2 linked regions of the Stegostoma tigrinum genome follow. The protein of the gene in region 1 interacts with the protein of each later gene in a biochemical or structural test. Links are inferred from orthologs where the notes say so. Each region holds a gene or a part of one and is shown on either strand. Other genes may lie near its edges.

Region 1 (7,791 bases):
AACTTCTCTAAGGTCACCCTCAGACTCCGACATTCCTGGGAAAATAGTCCAAGCCTATTCAGCCTCTCCCTTAGCTCAAACCCTCCAACTCTAACAACATCCTTGTAAATTTTACCTGCAGCAGGGAGACCTGAATTGAACACAGTATTCCAAAAGTGGCCTAACCAATATTCCGTACAGCCGTAACAATACCCCACTGCGAAGCATCTTGTAAGAATGCCTAACCTGAAGAAGTTACCCTCCACCCTCCGAACAAACCTCAGGGGATTTCTCTCCCACTGCAACTCCTCCTCTATCCATCTTCAATCCACCTCCCCCTCTCTGCCTATTTATTTCAGAACCCTCTTCCCCTCCCCCATTTCTGATGAAGGCCCGAAATGTCAGCTTTCCTGGTCCTAAGATGCTGCTTGGCCTGCTGCGTTCATCCAGCTCCGCACCTTGTTAGCTCAATTTCTATACTCAATGCAAGCATGCTAAAAGCCTTCTTCACAATCTTGTGTCCCTGCAACTCCAACTGCAAGGAACTATGTACCTGCACTCCAAAGTACCTTGATTGTTCCCACTAAATGCTCAAGGCACCTTCTCCTCCTTTGAGGTCCTCACACTTCCACCATACCCCTTCCAAAATGTTCACACTCTCCCATTCACTCAAAGGTTCTCTCAAAGACATTCCTTCAATCTTTTTTTCCCCCTTGTTCCCTATACTAAGACACAATTCAGACTGTATGGATTTCGACCTCAATCCACAATATTGCCGTTTCTCTTTGATCTCACTGCCATCCTCTGTCTCTAACTTTCACAGAGTCATGGCCATTCCCTTGTCCTTTCCAGCTTCCCAGCTTCTCCAGTTTCGTTGTCTCGACCACAGAACATTAGTGAGAATTTCTGTTCACTTTCTCGTGCAACCCATGCTCCACTTCCACTTTCTCAAGCAACATCCTTCTGCATTCACCGTGGAAGCAACTTTTTCAAACCCTTAAGCGGCCTATTCACCAGGATATTTCCACTACTGTCCAAGTGCTTAGTTACTTCGCTATCTCCCTATTTAGCAGCAATTCCAGTTGTAAAAAAAATTCTTTATTAGTATTTTCTAATATTGTCCCATCTTTATTCACACAATCAGAAAGGACACAGACTTGAATAGGTCCAACACAGAACTAGTTTAGCAATTCATCATCAGATCTAGCTGGGCCACATCAATCCCTGTGTGGCCATTCACTTATTAACCAGTACCATTATGGAGAACAAAATTAACCCTACTCCTTTTCTGCATTACTATCTCCTCAACTCCATTCTGAGCTCCTTAAATTCCCTCCAGTAAGTCCAAGAGTTCAGCAACTTCTCTGTCACTAAGATTAAGACTATTATTTAGCTGCTTCTAGCCACTCTACTTTTCCCCATTCTTATCTTGATGAAGATTTATGAGGCTATAATTAATCTGACATGTCCCATTTGTGCTAGAGATAAGGTTCACAGCTCCAGAAGTGTGGGCAGTTTAGAGCCACAATCCTCTCAAGTAATAAAAACAGTTGCTAGTTAAAGATAACAAGGTGTAGAGCTGGATGAACACAACAGGCCAGGCAACATCAGAGGAGCAAGAAAGCTGACATTTTGGGTCTGAACCCTTCTTCAGAAATGGGGGAGGGATAGGGGACAATGAAAAAAGAACGAGAGGTGGGGAGGCGATGATGGAAGTTGGATAAAGGAGCAGATAGGTGGAGAGAAGACAGACAGGTCGAGGCAGCAGGGACTGAGCCAGTAAAGTTGAGTGTACGTAGGGATTTGGGATGGGGATTGCTCAGTTGAGGGAGCACAAACAGGTCAAGGAGGCAGGGATGAGGGTTGATCAGTGAGATGGAAGGAGCAAATAGGTGGGAGAAAAGACAGACAAGTCAATGAGGCAGACATGAGCTGAGCTGGTTTTGGAATGAGGTCAGGGGAAGGGAGATGTTGAAGCTCGCGAAGTCCACATTGACTCCATTGAGCCGCAGGGTTCCCAGACTAAATATGAGGTGCAATTCCTGCAGCCTTCGGGGGCATCGTTGTGGTACTGGAGGCGGCCCAGATGGACATGTCGTCCAAGGAATGGGAAGGGGAGTTGAAGCGGTTAGCGACTGGGAGGTGCAGTCATTTGTCATGAACCAAGCCTAGATGTTCCACAAAGCTTTGTCGAACACCTACGCTTAGTTCATGTTGCTGATCCATAGAATTTCTACAGTGGCCTAACAAGTCCACAATGACCCTCAGAGAATCCCACCCAGACTCATTCCCCAAACCCACCTAATCTACACATCCTTGAACACTATGGGCAATTTAGCACGGCCAATCCACTTAGCCTGCACATCTTTGGACTGAGGGAGTAAACTCGAGTACCCAGCTGAGATGTGTGGATATATGGATGTTGGTGAAAACAGACTTGATCACTATCTGTGGTCAGATTCAACTTGTCCTATACTTCCAATATGTACTGTTGTATTTAAGTCAGACTTAGTTCTTGATCTGTAAAGGGGACCAAAGATTACAGGGAGAAGGCTGAAGAATGGATTTGAGAAACATGATCAACTGGTGGAGCTGATTTATGGGGCCAGGTGGCCTAATTTTGCCCCTACATCTTATAGCCAAACACCGGATTGACCTGTGATCTAACCCCCAAATCACTATGAAGAAATTATAAATAACAAGAGTATTAACCAACCCCATAAGCTATTACTGCTAATCATTTCAAGCAAGAACTGGAGAATAGTCTGAATTTAGACCACCAGGTCTGGCCTACATGTGACTCCAGATCCAGGGTCCTGACCTGAAACGTCAACTTCCCTACTGCTCCGATGCTGCCTGGTCTGCCGGGTTCCTCCACCACCACACCGCAGTGTGATTCCGGCATCTGCAGTTCTTGCTATCTCCCTAGTATTGACTCTTAACTGCCCTCTAGGCAATTAGGCATAGGTAATAAATACTGGTATAGCCAGTGACGCCCACGCTCCGTGAATGAATTATATAAAACATAAACAACTGGCGTGAAAATTAAAATGAATTTTCTGGTAACGTATTGATCTCCTGGTTATCCTAAAATTTGAAATTAGCACCTATTTGTCGGGTACTACACAATGTTTTGAAACGTTGTGCATTGAGCAATCTTTCCCAAAACTTTAACCGCAGGTTTACAGCCTGTGAGTCAACGTGAAACAACCTGCTCCTCAGGCAAACTGCTAACAACGGGGGTCTTTACAAAGCAGAGCTTAGTCCGAATCAAGCACTGTCAGAAACCCAACATTAAGCTGCGGCTCCCCTTACCTGCGGAGCCGGAGACACGGCCAGACCGGGAACCTACCGACGGTCCACTTTCTTTTGAGTCACAGATCGCAATGAGGAAGTGAGAAAGAGGATGTGGGTGGAGACACGAGTTCAGGACAGTGCCCAGGGAGGAGTCAGCGTCAGGTTCAGTCCCACCTCCCTCTGCCTTCGCCTATCTCCCTCCCTCAGCGTCCCCACACCCCTCCTCCGACTCTCCCCTCTTCCAGTCTCCACCTTCCACCAATTTACCCCCTCACTCATTAGCTTCTCTCCTCTCTTCCTCTCCATCTTCAACCTTTCTCAGTTTCATTGCCTGCAGAGACTCAAATCCGTCTCTTACAGACTCACCTCCTGATTCTACCATCCGTTGACATTGTCCACCATCGACATCTCACCTCTGTCATCACCTTTCCTGTAATGGAATGACTGTCAAATTCCTCAAAGAGCTGCCCCTGGTGCTGTAATTCTCACTAGCAGCATTTGACATTGGAACGAGCAGATCTACACAGTGCCCATAGACAGTGCCAGGTCTATCACCTCAAACCAGCTGAAAAAGGAATCCCAAGGAAAGTGCTTTGGGAAAATGGGATTCCCAGCTCCCTCAGGTGAGCTCAATGGGACTGTTAATGACCTTAATCTCTTGAACCATCAAAAAGCAACATTACCTTTCCCTAGCATCCCAAACAATTCCTTTGGACAAGCACATCTTTTTGAAAAACAATTTGTCAGGAGATGACTTCCACTTGGCTTTAAAGATTCACTTTTTCTTCAGCATTTGTTTCCAGCCAACAAGGTCAAACTAGAACCTTTTCTCAGTCAATTTCATATCCTTCTCCTCAGGCAGTCCTTCAGAATCGAGAATGACAGCTCTTCCCTCTGCCACAACATGGATTCTGTCCATCAAGACACACTCTGGACATGATCTTCTGTTCTGGTGTTGTGGGTCCTGAAGTAAGTAAAAAGTCCAGTGCTGGATCCACAAAGCCTTTTGTAGTTGGGACAGTGCTGTTTGCTGAAGCTGGTGAATGGATGGCTGAGACACTTAAATCTTTGCACGTTCCTTCCACTGTTTGCCCTTGGCCCCTGTCAGGGTCTGCCTCCTTTGATCTGAAGTGAATTGAAGCAAATCATTTATTGTCACATGTATTCAGTATAAAATACAGTGAAAAGTGTGTACCTTTGCCATGCATAGACACCATTCACATTCATTTGAAATAAAAAGTGAAGAAAGATAACTTAAAGAGAGCCCAACTTTTCCTTCTCTGCTTCACCAGTCCATAGCATGCCGCTTTCAAAATCCCACTCTGGGCTTCCCTGCCATGCCTTACCGCCACCCAAGTCATGCTCCAGGTTTCCCAGCACATGCCATGCCGCTGCCAAAGTCTCACTCCGTACTACACCAGCCTGTGCCGTGCTGCCACCCCCCCACCCCCCCAGGGGCCCACTGCAGGCTTCATAGGCTGGCCGACTCTGTAGACACCTTGATAGTCTTCTGTGATATTAGTTCCTGGTTCCCACACTCTCTTCATCCACTTTTTTTCTTTGTCTTATTCCTTTCTTCCTCTTCTTCTCTCAGTTTTTAGTTTTAGCTCAAACTTACCTGAAGTTTGCCTCTGAAGATGCTGCCTCCGCTCTGGAGCTTATTGAAAATGCCTTCCTACTGAAGAGCTCTCTTTATCAGGTAAGTTTGAGCTAAAACTAAAAACTGAGAAAAGAAGAGGAAGAAAGGAATAAGACAAAGAAAAAAAAGTGGATGAAGAGAGTGTGGGAACCAGGAACTGATATCACAGAAGACTATCAAGGTGCACAAATTCTGGGAAAGAGTAAATTATCAGGTGAGTTGAGAATAAAGAAGAAAGTAATATAGTTTAAGTCAAGGTCAGTAAGCATGTATGGGAACGCATAGAGTGTAGTAAATAGGTTGATAGGCACAGATTGTCATGTGGAAGTTTGGTATTATGGACATATGCAGAGACCTGTCTTAAGGAACATCCAGACTGGGTGTTTAATATTCCTGAATACAAGCTGATCATGAAAGAGAGGAAACTGTGAAAAGGGAAGGTCTGTTGGTATTAATCAAGAAGAGCATTTCAGTGCTGGAAAATGAGAATGTCCCAAAGGGGTCAAGGACAGAATCAATTTGGTTAGAGTTAAGGAACAAAAAAACTGTGCGATTACTTTGCTTTGGTAGTTCTTCTGACTACCAACTAACGGGAAAGTTGCAGCAAAACAAATTCCCAAAGAAATTTTAGAGAGTAGAGGGCTTTAATTGTACAAATATAGACTGGCTAGTAGCAGTGTAGAGGGCAAAGAGGGGAAAGAGAATTCCACTCGTGTTCAGGAGAATTTTCTCCAGTAGAATGTAGACCTGAGTCTGAAGTTTCACTATTAGGTCAAGAGCTTAGAATCAGGACAATTTCCAGGAGGCAGCCGGGATTTTCATTTTGGGGCTTGCAGGTGTTATGCAAGATGGGCTGCATGACAAACACAGAGGCCGGTAAGTGTGGAGTTGGCAGGATCCTCTGAGTTTAGCAATTTGTTGAAGTTTAAAAATATCATAAAACAGCCCTCATGCCCCTCGTAGACCCGTCCCCATCCATGCCAAACCGTGTTCCTAAATTCATCACTGAACCTAACCCCAGAGCTCCACTTACTCTCCATTCCTACCTGTGCCCATAAATGCACTCATGATACTTGAAAGCCTCAATGCTGCTGTACTCAGTCCACACACTTTGTAGCCCCTATGCCAATATAGTGCCAACTCATTGCAACTGATGTGGCGTTAGTTTGTCTAATGCCTAGTTTGTCAGCACGGTATTTTAACTGAAACATAGTATTGAAGAATCTAGCAGATGTTTATTATAACTATTAGGTATAAATATTACATTTCTCAGGCATATATGTGTCAGTGCTAATATTAAGCTATTAGGTTACATCAGAGGAGCATGCTTCTAGTGGAGCGTCATGCTTCAAGTGATCCAAGGTAGATGGAGGATGAGACATTTGTACTCTTGTCATATGCAATGAAACAGTGATGATATCATTAGCAAATCTCTTAAAAACACGCTCCGGCTGCCATGGTGTAATGGTGAGCACGTGGGTTTCTGAACACTGCGATCCGAGTTCAAGTCTGGAGGCAGCCTATATTTCCTGGTCCGGTTAGTGCTCAGCCTCAGGAAGTCATGTTTTAGGGCGGCACGGTGGCTCAGTGGTTAGCACTGCAGCCTCACAGCACCAGGGACGCGGGTTTGATTCCCACCTCGCATGACTGTCTGTGTGGAGTTTGCACATTCTCCCTGTGTCTGCGTGGGTTTCCTCCGGGTGCCCCAGTTTCCTTCCACAGTTCACTGATGTGCAGGCTAGGTGGCTCAGCCATGCTAAATTGTCCGTAGTGTTCAGGGGTGTGTGGGTTATAGGGAGATGGGCCTCGGTGGGATGCTTCAAGTGGCAGTGTGGACTTGTTGGGCCGAAAGGCCTGTTTCCACACTGTAGGGAATTAATCTAAAAAAAATGCTGACATGCTGATTCTGGTATGTAACACAACACCGCCCTTTTCCTAAGACAAAGCAAAATCAAATAGATGAACATGGTTTTACATGAGCATGTGATGACTGCTGCCTGGTAAATTTTGATATATGTTTCAAAACCAACTCCATGATTTCTATGATAATAAAATGTGAGGCTGGATGAACACAGCAGGCCAAGCAGCATCTCAGGAGCACAAAAGCTGACGCTTCGGGCCTAGACCCTTCATCAGAGAGGCTGCGATAGGGTTAGGGTTTCTATGGATTTCTATGGATGAGTCTGCTGAATGTTGAGCTTGCTTTTGCCTGGCGACAGTTGTTTTCATCAATTAATGGGACGGCATGGTGTCGCAGTGTTTAGAACTGCAACCTCACAGTGCAAAGGAACCAGGTTTGATTCCATCCGTCATGTTCAGGGATGTGTAGATTAGGTGGGTTATGTGGGGTGGATCTGGGTGAGATGCTGTGGGGCTCGGTGTGGACTTATTGGGCCGAAGGGCCCGTTTCCACACTGTAGGGAATCTATGATCTATGATCTATGTGTTGTTAATTGAATAATCATATAGACAATGTAAAACAGAGTTTGCAAGACTAACATTTCAGAAAGCAATGTAATGCTTTTGAGGTTTGATAACTAGTCCTGATCTGGTGATCGTGTCTGCAACTGGAGACATACTTGTTGTTTTCTGTTAGACATTTTTGAAAACTTGGTTGTCTTGCTGTTCATTGCTATCATTCTACATATTATCATCAGAGTGTTCTTCCTCGTTCTCTTCAACTATGGTCAGTGATTTGTACATTGGCCTGAGCTGACTTCTGTTCCTTCACAATATAGCACCATGATCAGTAAATGACTTTATATGATCTGACCTGTTTGTACATATTAGAAAGTTTTGCCTATATCCAAGTATTTGGATTTGTATTTCTAATTCACTTTCTCTTCCAGTGCACGGTCTTGTTAATTCTCTACTTG
Region 2 (8,098 bases), on another chromosome or scaffold:
ATGCTATATTTTGTACTAGTAAAGTATTGCTTGGTTTTATTCCAGCCATTATTTGACAACTGATAACAAAATTGCACTTCAACAGCACGATCCAACGAAAACCAATCATCAGTGCCTAGATCATGGCTCCTTAACCAAACGAACTACAATGTCGGTTATAAATATGATTTTATCAATAATAATGCAGATTTTTTAAAAACTGTTCATTGCATACAAGTTATATATGCGCCTACACAGACACGCTTAGACGAAATCTCGGTCTAAATAATCATCCCTTATGCCCCAACTTGTTAAGAATGGACTTAGGCAGACTGGATTCTGATGACTCAAATGCTGGGGTGTTTCAAGGTTGAATCTTGTCTTAACACAGAAACTTTCTGAAGTTCCTCTGGACCAGTGGAGGTTTTGGGGTTGGTGTGAAGCAAGTGGTCGCTTCCACTCACATCGTCTCCCTCTTTCTGGTTTTCCAATTGCGTGCGCGGGCGTTTGTTGTGCAGAGAGCCGTCGAGACAGCAACGCCTGTGCTCACGGTTGAAAGCCTCCCGAAGAGCGGACCCTTGACAACCGCCCAGCACGGACTTTGTTTGATATGCACGCCGTTTGACTTTGCTCTTGGGTTGTCAAGGATCGCTTCTCGCCGGGCTGTTTGCTTTAGAGCGATTTTCTCAGACACTGGGTAATCCAAGATGAAGAGTTGTGTGTGTGTGTGTGTGTGTGTGTGTGTGGTGGGGGGGGGGGGGGGGGTTTGAATTCCACTTTTGTGGATTTTTGTCTACTTCTTTGTGGCTTAACATTAAACATCAAAACTCCCACCCTACCGCCAACACAACTTTACAGTCCCTACAACCTTGGAGGGCATGAGAAGTGACCAAAGCTAAATTACAAGAGGTGTTGCAAAAACAGGTCCTAAACGTGGGGGGTGGGGGGCAGAGTGCATGTGTGTGTGCGCGCGCGCGGAAGGACCTTGGTTGACTTTAGCTTTTCCACATTTTTTTTGTCATGAACCTGTCTTTAATAAGAAGCAGTACCTTGCTTTTATCGACGCTGTCCTCTTTAAACACAACCCGCACGACCCCCCACCCGTCCCCGCCAGACACAAAAAACTCATTGTCCGCCCAGCAGCCGCCAAAACTCGGCGAAGTCAAGCGAGCAAACTTTCAGGGGAGCAGGCTAAAAACTGAGTCAGGGATTAGCTGCCGAATAAATATGCGACCCAATGCAAAAATTGTTTTATTTTTGTGTGTGTGTTACTGAAGATCCGCTTTTTTTGAGGGAAAAAGAAACGTGAGATCTGTTCCATTCTGTGTGTGTTTGTGAGAGGGGATCGAGAGCGCTTGTCGCGCGCGAGCAGTTCTGACAGGAAAGTTTTCGCAGGAAAAGATCTGACCAAACACCGGCATTACCATAACAAAAGACTCGGCGGCTACTCGTACAGCCGCAGCTCCAACCTTTCATCAACAAGAAAAAGTTAAACAAACACCAAGTTAACAACAAAGTCGCGGAGGCGCCAGATGCAGCTGGAGTGGGGGTGGGTGGGTGCTGGGCGCAACTCTCCATCTCTGTAAACAATTTGGTATTGGGAAATTTCGGGTTCATGCAGAAAACACCCCACTTCTTTCACCCCTCCGACCCCTTTCTAAGTCACCTCATCCCCACCACTACCACAAGTAGTACCAGCGCTGGACACCTCACCTCATCCTCCCCTAGTACCAGGGACAGTGAGGAGTGGACTTTCCTGTTCCCGTGGGGAAATGTCACCTCCCAGCGAGAGGTGGGGATGGGGGGGGAGAGAAAGGAGGAGGTTGCGCGCTGTGTGTCTCTAACACGTAGAAAAAAAGAGCTGCTACTTGTTTCGGTTACGGAGATTAGGTGGTGGGAGACTTGCTCTCTCTCACGCTGGAGGCCGTGTGAATTACAACTTGCCCGGGTTTAGCAGCAGCGCGCTTCTTGCTCGATCGAACTTTTGAAGGACGTCAGAAATCGGCAGCACCTTGAGCTGTGGGTTTCTTTACTTCCCAGTGTTGGAGCTTCCAGCGGCCCGCCAACTGGAGAAAGTGGCGATGAAGTGTGTTCGGGGCCGCACTGAAAAAGCTGGCGAACAGAGGCCAGACTTCGCACTAAGTTACTGTACTTACCCCCGCCCCAGCAACCACCCTCCACCCCAAACCGATACACTTCTAGTAGAGAAAACTCGGTAGAATGCCGTAGATTGCTTAAACTATGACTACATGATTACCGCGGAGCCTCAATTACCTCCTCCACCTCCCCCCACCCACCCCCGTAACTTCGATGACTTTCTAGGTAACTCGATGCTGACATGCTAACCCTAACCCGTCCAAACTCGCATGAGTCTTTCTGAAAAGTACAGGACGGCGACAAAAAATAAAAGTGACAACTTTCAGGAGTTCCCTTTTCCCTCGTGCGGTTCGCACACTATGTGACTATTTCCCCCTGCACGAATGGTGTGATCCTAGAAGAGAGATCCCTTTCGGTCTCCTCCAGCCTGTCAAGTCTCCGCCGATTTACTCCACGGGAAACAACAGCGAAATTGCAGGAGGAGAAAGAGAAACCTCGCGCAACTCAACTCCCTCAAACTGACCTACTCTTGGTGAATAACCTCACGCTAAAACAAGCCCCGGGGACTCCCACACCTCAGCTTAACACCCCACATCCTCCTCTTCCTCCTCCTCCCCCCCAACAACAACCACCCCAGCAGCAGTTGTGTCTGCGTTGCCAATGCAAATTATTTATCGAAACCCACTTTGACAAACGACAAACATTTTTTTTTCTTCTCTGTAAAACACCCCAAACTGCACGTGGGGCTTTGCAGGAAATTAGAGCCAAGCCAAGCCGAAAGAGTTAAACCTGAAAGCGAGAAGGGCAAGGGGGGAGAGAGAGAGACAGACAGAAGAATGAAATTCAAACTTACCAGTTGGTGCTGCTTTTAGGTTGTTGGGCAACCAGGAGATAATTTGACCCTGCAACACACATGCGATTGTGTACGAGAAAGCATGCAACAAGCACACAATAAATAACAATATATTACTCCGCTCGGGCACTACGTTGTAGAGCAGCCGCTTTCCAAACACACAAAAATCCCTTCAGCACCAACTAGAAAGCGGGGACCGAGCTCAACACTTGATCAGATCTTTCCCTATGCTCCCGCAGCGCTTTCCCCTTCCACTTTTCATTATTCACAATTCTAGCGAACTTAATGAGTTTTTTTTGTTGGAGTAGTGGTTTGTGTGTGTGTGTGGAGGGGGGGTTGGAAGATACAAATCGCGGAGTTGGATGTTGTTATTTTTTGCTGTAAGCTGGCCCCTGACGTCATATCCACCTGCTGTGTAAACAACATGTATCAGAGCTTTTCAGAGAAGGGGAGGGGGGAAGCTGCTGCTTGCTTCAGGATCTCTGCTTGCAGTACAGGGCGGCTACAGCAACTTTGGCGTGAGCACCACAAATAAAGCAGTCACTACAAACCCCCTCCCCGTCCTCTGTCTAATCACCAAAAAAACCTCACCGTCTCTCTCATTTCTGGGCTCTGAAGGAGCAATGAAAGTGATTGTGGAAATGTTGAAAGTGTGTGTGTGAGAGAGAGAGCGCTCCACTCTCTCTCTGTAGCAGACAGCTGCTGGGCCAAGCAGCCCAACCCGACTCCGGGAGACGCAGCGCTGCGCTCCTCTTCCCCCCACCTCGGCTCGGCTCGCTCGGTGCTCTCTGGCCAATGAAGGCAGTTGGGTTCGGGAGGTGAAAGTTCAGCAAGAGGACAACCCTGTCAGGAAGTAGAAATTGTCAATCTGTGGAGTGCCAAACCTACTGTTATCTTACTCCACTGACCAGTTCAAAGCAAAACGAGGACAAGCTGCGAAGTGCCGGTCTGCACGTGTCATTTTTTTTCTCTCTCTGTGTGTCTCTTTCTCATTCAGTCAACACGGCCAGGAGCGTTTACTTATTGTTTAGTCCGAGTAAAATAACAAAATAAAGTTGTTGGTAGGGGGTAAGATGCAGAGGGTAAAGTTTGTAACTTGTAATTTATGTCGTTTCCTATTCACGATTTGTTGTGCACCTTTGTGGTGCCAATATTTGAGCTCTTTGGCGAACGGAGAGGATCCTCTTTGATATGATTGCCTGGGTGTGATCAGCCTTAACTCCACCATAGCGGAGTAGGATAGAGTCCTCTAAACCTTCAGTCTCCTTTCAAGACCCGTCCTCTGATACATTGTGACTCTGCTGACTACTGGAATTGACATATAACTCTTCCCGAAACAATCGAGCACACCAAACTGCGAGATTTTTTCCTTGATAGCCTTATAATAATAACATTAATTACGAACCCGATGGGGCGATTTTTCTTTTCTTGAAAAAATGCTTGCGAATCGGTTCAGTAGTCCAATTAACACTTCCAGAACGTAACATTAATCTGCAATTTAACTGAAATCTTTCTGAAACCTTGCCTGTCCTTGATCAAGGACTGAAATGCAGAGGTATAAATTTATTTATAAATGACGCTTAATTTATTACAGGGACCATCAGAGGCCGTGCTGAAGAGTGGCGGATTTCTCAAGTCTCCGTTCTACTCAGAGATGGATTTGTGCAGATGAAGAGCCTGGAACGCCATCCCCTGGTTACAAAAAAAAAATCGGGAAGCGCCAAGGAGGAAATAATGCACATAGAATGGCAGTATTATTTGAGCGCGTTTCGATGCAGATGAAATGGTACAAAGTTAGGAATATTATAAATATTTCATGCGTGTAGGCGTCATGATTGAAAAGAACAAAAAGTCAGAATTCTTATAATCTAATGATAATATTGTCACATTTAGGTTTCATTCAAATTATACAAGGAATGCTTTTTATTAAAGTTATTACTTTGAATGCAATTATAGAGCCAGTTGAAGCCAATCCACGACGTGTTTATCACATCAAATACCTGGACAACTGTTAAAATCGTGAGTCATGAATCTTCTGGCGAACCCCGCAGATCTTCCCAGCTATGTAAATACTAGCCCATTGTACACCAAATAAACTAAATCCCCTCCTTGTTAACAAGGTGGAAACCGAAAATCGTTGGGATATATCCCCCACCTAACGAATAGCTTCGAATAGCAGAAAGTAACCCAGCTCGTTTGAATTGACTGCACTTTTCCTGAACCCCTTCCGAGCAAATTCCTAACACCGTTTCTGACTGCGATGTCCGTCCCTAAACGCAAAGAATGTGCCGACGGTTCAATCCGATTTCCATCAAATTGTGACCGTCCCTGTACGTTTCGGATAACTGTGTGGAGATTTAGCGGTTCTAAATTCAGCCTGTTGGACTTACCTGGCTGCTGATTTTAATTTGTTGTTGTTTTGAAATGCAAAGCACAAGCACGGAGCGGCAACAAATAACGAGATAATAACAAACAAATTCGGCATGCAAGCTAAATGTTAAACTTTATTGCAAAGTTAATCCAACTATCATTTCTGTGTACTTTATGGGCGTTTCGACTCAAAATCTTTTCTCAAAAAAACACATGCCTGATTTGATAACTGCATTTTCAACTCATTTCATCGTTACATGATGAGACTCTTTTTCAATGATGCCATTAATTCTATATTTAATTTTTTTCTATTCGAAATGAAACTATACCAATTCAGCGTATTTGGTTTTATAGCATTAAGATCAACCGAACATCTGATGGATGGTTTCGCAAATTATATCATATTACATGGAGGGGTTTTCCTCGTACAATAACTGCATTTTTATTTCAAAATCTTAAAATTCCAGTGAAAACTATTTTAAAATCGGACAAATGGGTTTTCGCGATATTTCATTTCCATTGTTCTGGTCTCCATGGTACTTACGGTTGCAAAGTAATTGAGTTTTGTTTCAGCCGCGAATGTTGTAAAGATTTTCTGCAAAGATTAATTCATGTATTAAGCATGCTTGGTGTCCATTCAGTCTTCCACATCTGTAGTATTCTAGAGATGTTAACCATATGGTACGCATCTCCGGGAGTAAATCGTTCGGAATAACCTTGTGCAGTCTGATTTTCCCTGACCCCTCTGGCTCGCTTAATGCTTATACCACTCTTTAAAATGATTATGAAGAATAGCGCTTTATGCCCGGATACATCGCAGGGAGCATTTTAACTTTTCTGAAGGGGTATCGACGATGTTTTGTAAATTAGCGTTAAATTGTTGTGGGTTTTACCTACATGGACGTCCAACTGTATAGCATACGGTTCTTCAAATGGTATCGGTACTCAATCGGGATTGTGAATGTTGACCTCTATAGACTACATCCGTGATTGACGTCCAGAAATGTAGATCTTTTTATAGACACAAGCTCCAGTAGTGGCATACCCTAATTCTATATGTTGTTATTTGTGCTCATACTGTACCTACATAGCCAGGCATCAATTTAGGCTGGTATACGTGGAGTTAGTGTGAGTTGTATGGGCAGTCTGTTATATTGTCAAGCGATGTACTTGTTCTCCACCCCATGCTTACTACATTACATTAATGCTGCACCAAAAATGGTTTAATATTCGGGATGGATTCATTGTTCAAAACTATTCGCTGACGGGAATGATTTTGCTCTTTGGATATACCAGCATGTAGGGAACGTGTTGATGTTGTGGTCATTTATGCAACTCAAGGGAGAGGACCGCGGATAAAGTAACATTTACGGCTGGGCATCTTCCCGAAACATGCACCAACTTAATTTTTTCACCCTTTTATCGACTTGTTTAACGTTTTTGAAAATTTTTTACTCACATTTCATTTGAATTTTCTTACAATCTTACCTTTTAACAATTTACACTTTGAAAAGGTAGTCTCACCAAAGGCTGTAGGTTATGGATCGGCCAGATTGTTTACTTCCTGAATTTCATCTCAGTGGATAACATTACACCATCCCTGATGCTCTGGCAAACAGGGTATGTACAGGACTTTCCTTAAATCTATCCAGGGAAAGTGCCCTTGCAGCTAAAACACTCATGCCCCCATGATGTGTTCATTCGGTCTTGCAACCATTTGAGAGCACAAGAGGGATTAATGACTGCTGGACTACTTAAAAGAGTAGATGTGGAAGCTGGGATTCCTGGGGCCTGGTGAATTAAATTTCTTTACATTTTCTCAAATAAGCAGGATTGCAACCATACAATATAAACTAATATTCCATAACGCTTGATGTTCATGAAAAGCATATTCCTCCAGATTTTTGATTCACCGTATAACCTTTGTTTCTTCCCATATTCTTTCAGTTTTCCTTCATTCCTATCCCAGTACCCTTCCATTGTTTCTTGCTTATTTAGCAGAGGTAAACCAACAATATATAAACAGAATATACATCCTTTCTCCAAATAAAACGTCTCATTGTCTGAAAAGAAACTCATACATATAACAAGTGTTTGACTGTAGGCGTGCCATGATTATATCAATGAAAATCTAGAGATAACAATTTCACAGAACCTAGTAGGGTATTTTCTCTGTGTGGCAATATCATCATTGAATTTGAAAAGAAAATTTCTCCTCACTTAATAAAGTTTGTTCAATGTTTAAAAATAATAATTTCCACATACATATAAAGCAACAATAGAATTTAGAGGCTAACACATTGTAAATTTTGACAGACATCTAAAATGTTGGTAATCAACAATGTAATAATTTATTGTTATTTTTCCTTATCTCTTTTCAGAAGCTAATAGACTTAATGTTACTTCCAATTCTATATTTAACAAAAGTTGAAAAAAATTAGTTTTTTGTCAGTTTCATTATACATCTTTGTTTATATCTTATTACTTTTAAATTTATTTTATTTATAAATTTTATCTTCATTAGTTTCCCTATTGCTTCTTTAATTTGTTAATTTCATCTATTGCTTTATCAACAACTTCACAGCCTAAAGCCACTCTATAATTTTGCAGCTGTGCAAATGTTCCTATTGATCATATAGCCAACACCAAACAAAACGGTACATGCAAATCTACATCATCTTACTGACTACAAAGAGAATAAAATGCCTGAGGATGCAAGTATTACATTTTTATCATACCATATTGCTTAGCAGGACACTTAGAGACTTCATTTGAGGCTTGTTAGGTGTAATTTATGCA

The links.
Region 2: the proteins of lrrk1 (region 1) and foxp1b form a complex in vitro, tested with the Homo sapiens proteins (2 studies listed by BioGRID and IntAct, with this or other methods). The link is inferred for Stegostoma tigrinum from reciprocal best matches to the Homo sapiens genes LRRK1 and FOXP1.

The regions. Positions count from the first base shown.
Region 1 is NC_081386.1:1,579,605-1,587,395, forward strand, and holds the start of lrrk1 (leucine-rich repeat serine/threonine-protein kinase 1), read right to left. Parts: upstream 3,395-7,791; 5' UTR 3,295-3,394; intron 1-3,294.
Region 2 is NC_081364.1:41,371,643-41,379,740, reverse strand, and holds the start of foxp1b (forkhead box protein P1-B), read right to left. Parts: upstream 3,208-8,098; 5' UTR 2,930-3,207; intron 1-2,929. UniProt on the Homo sapiens protein: Transcriptional repressor. Can act with CTBP1 to synergistically repress transcription but CTPBP1 is not essential. Plays an important role in the specification and differentiation of lung epithelium.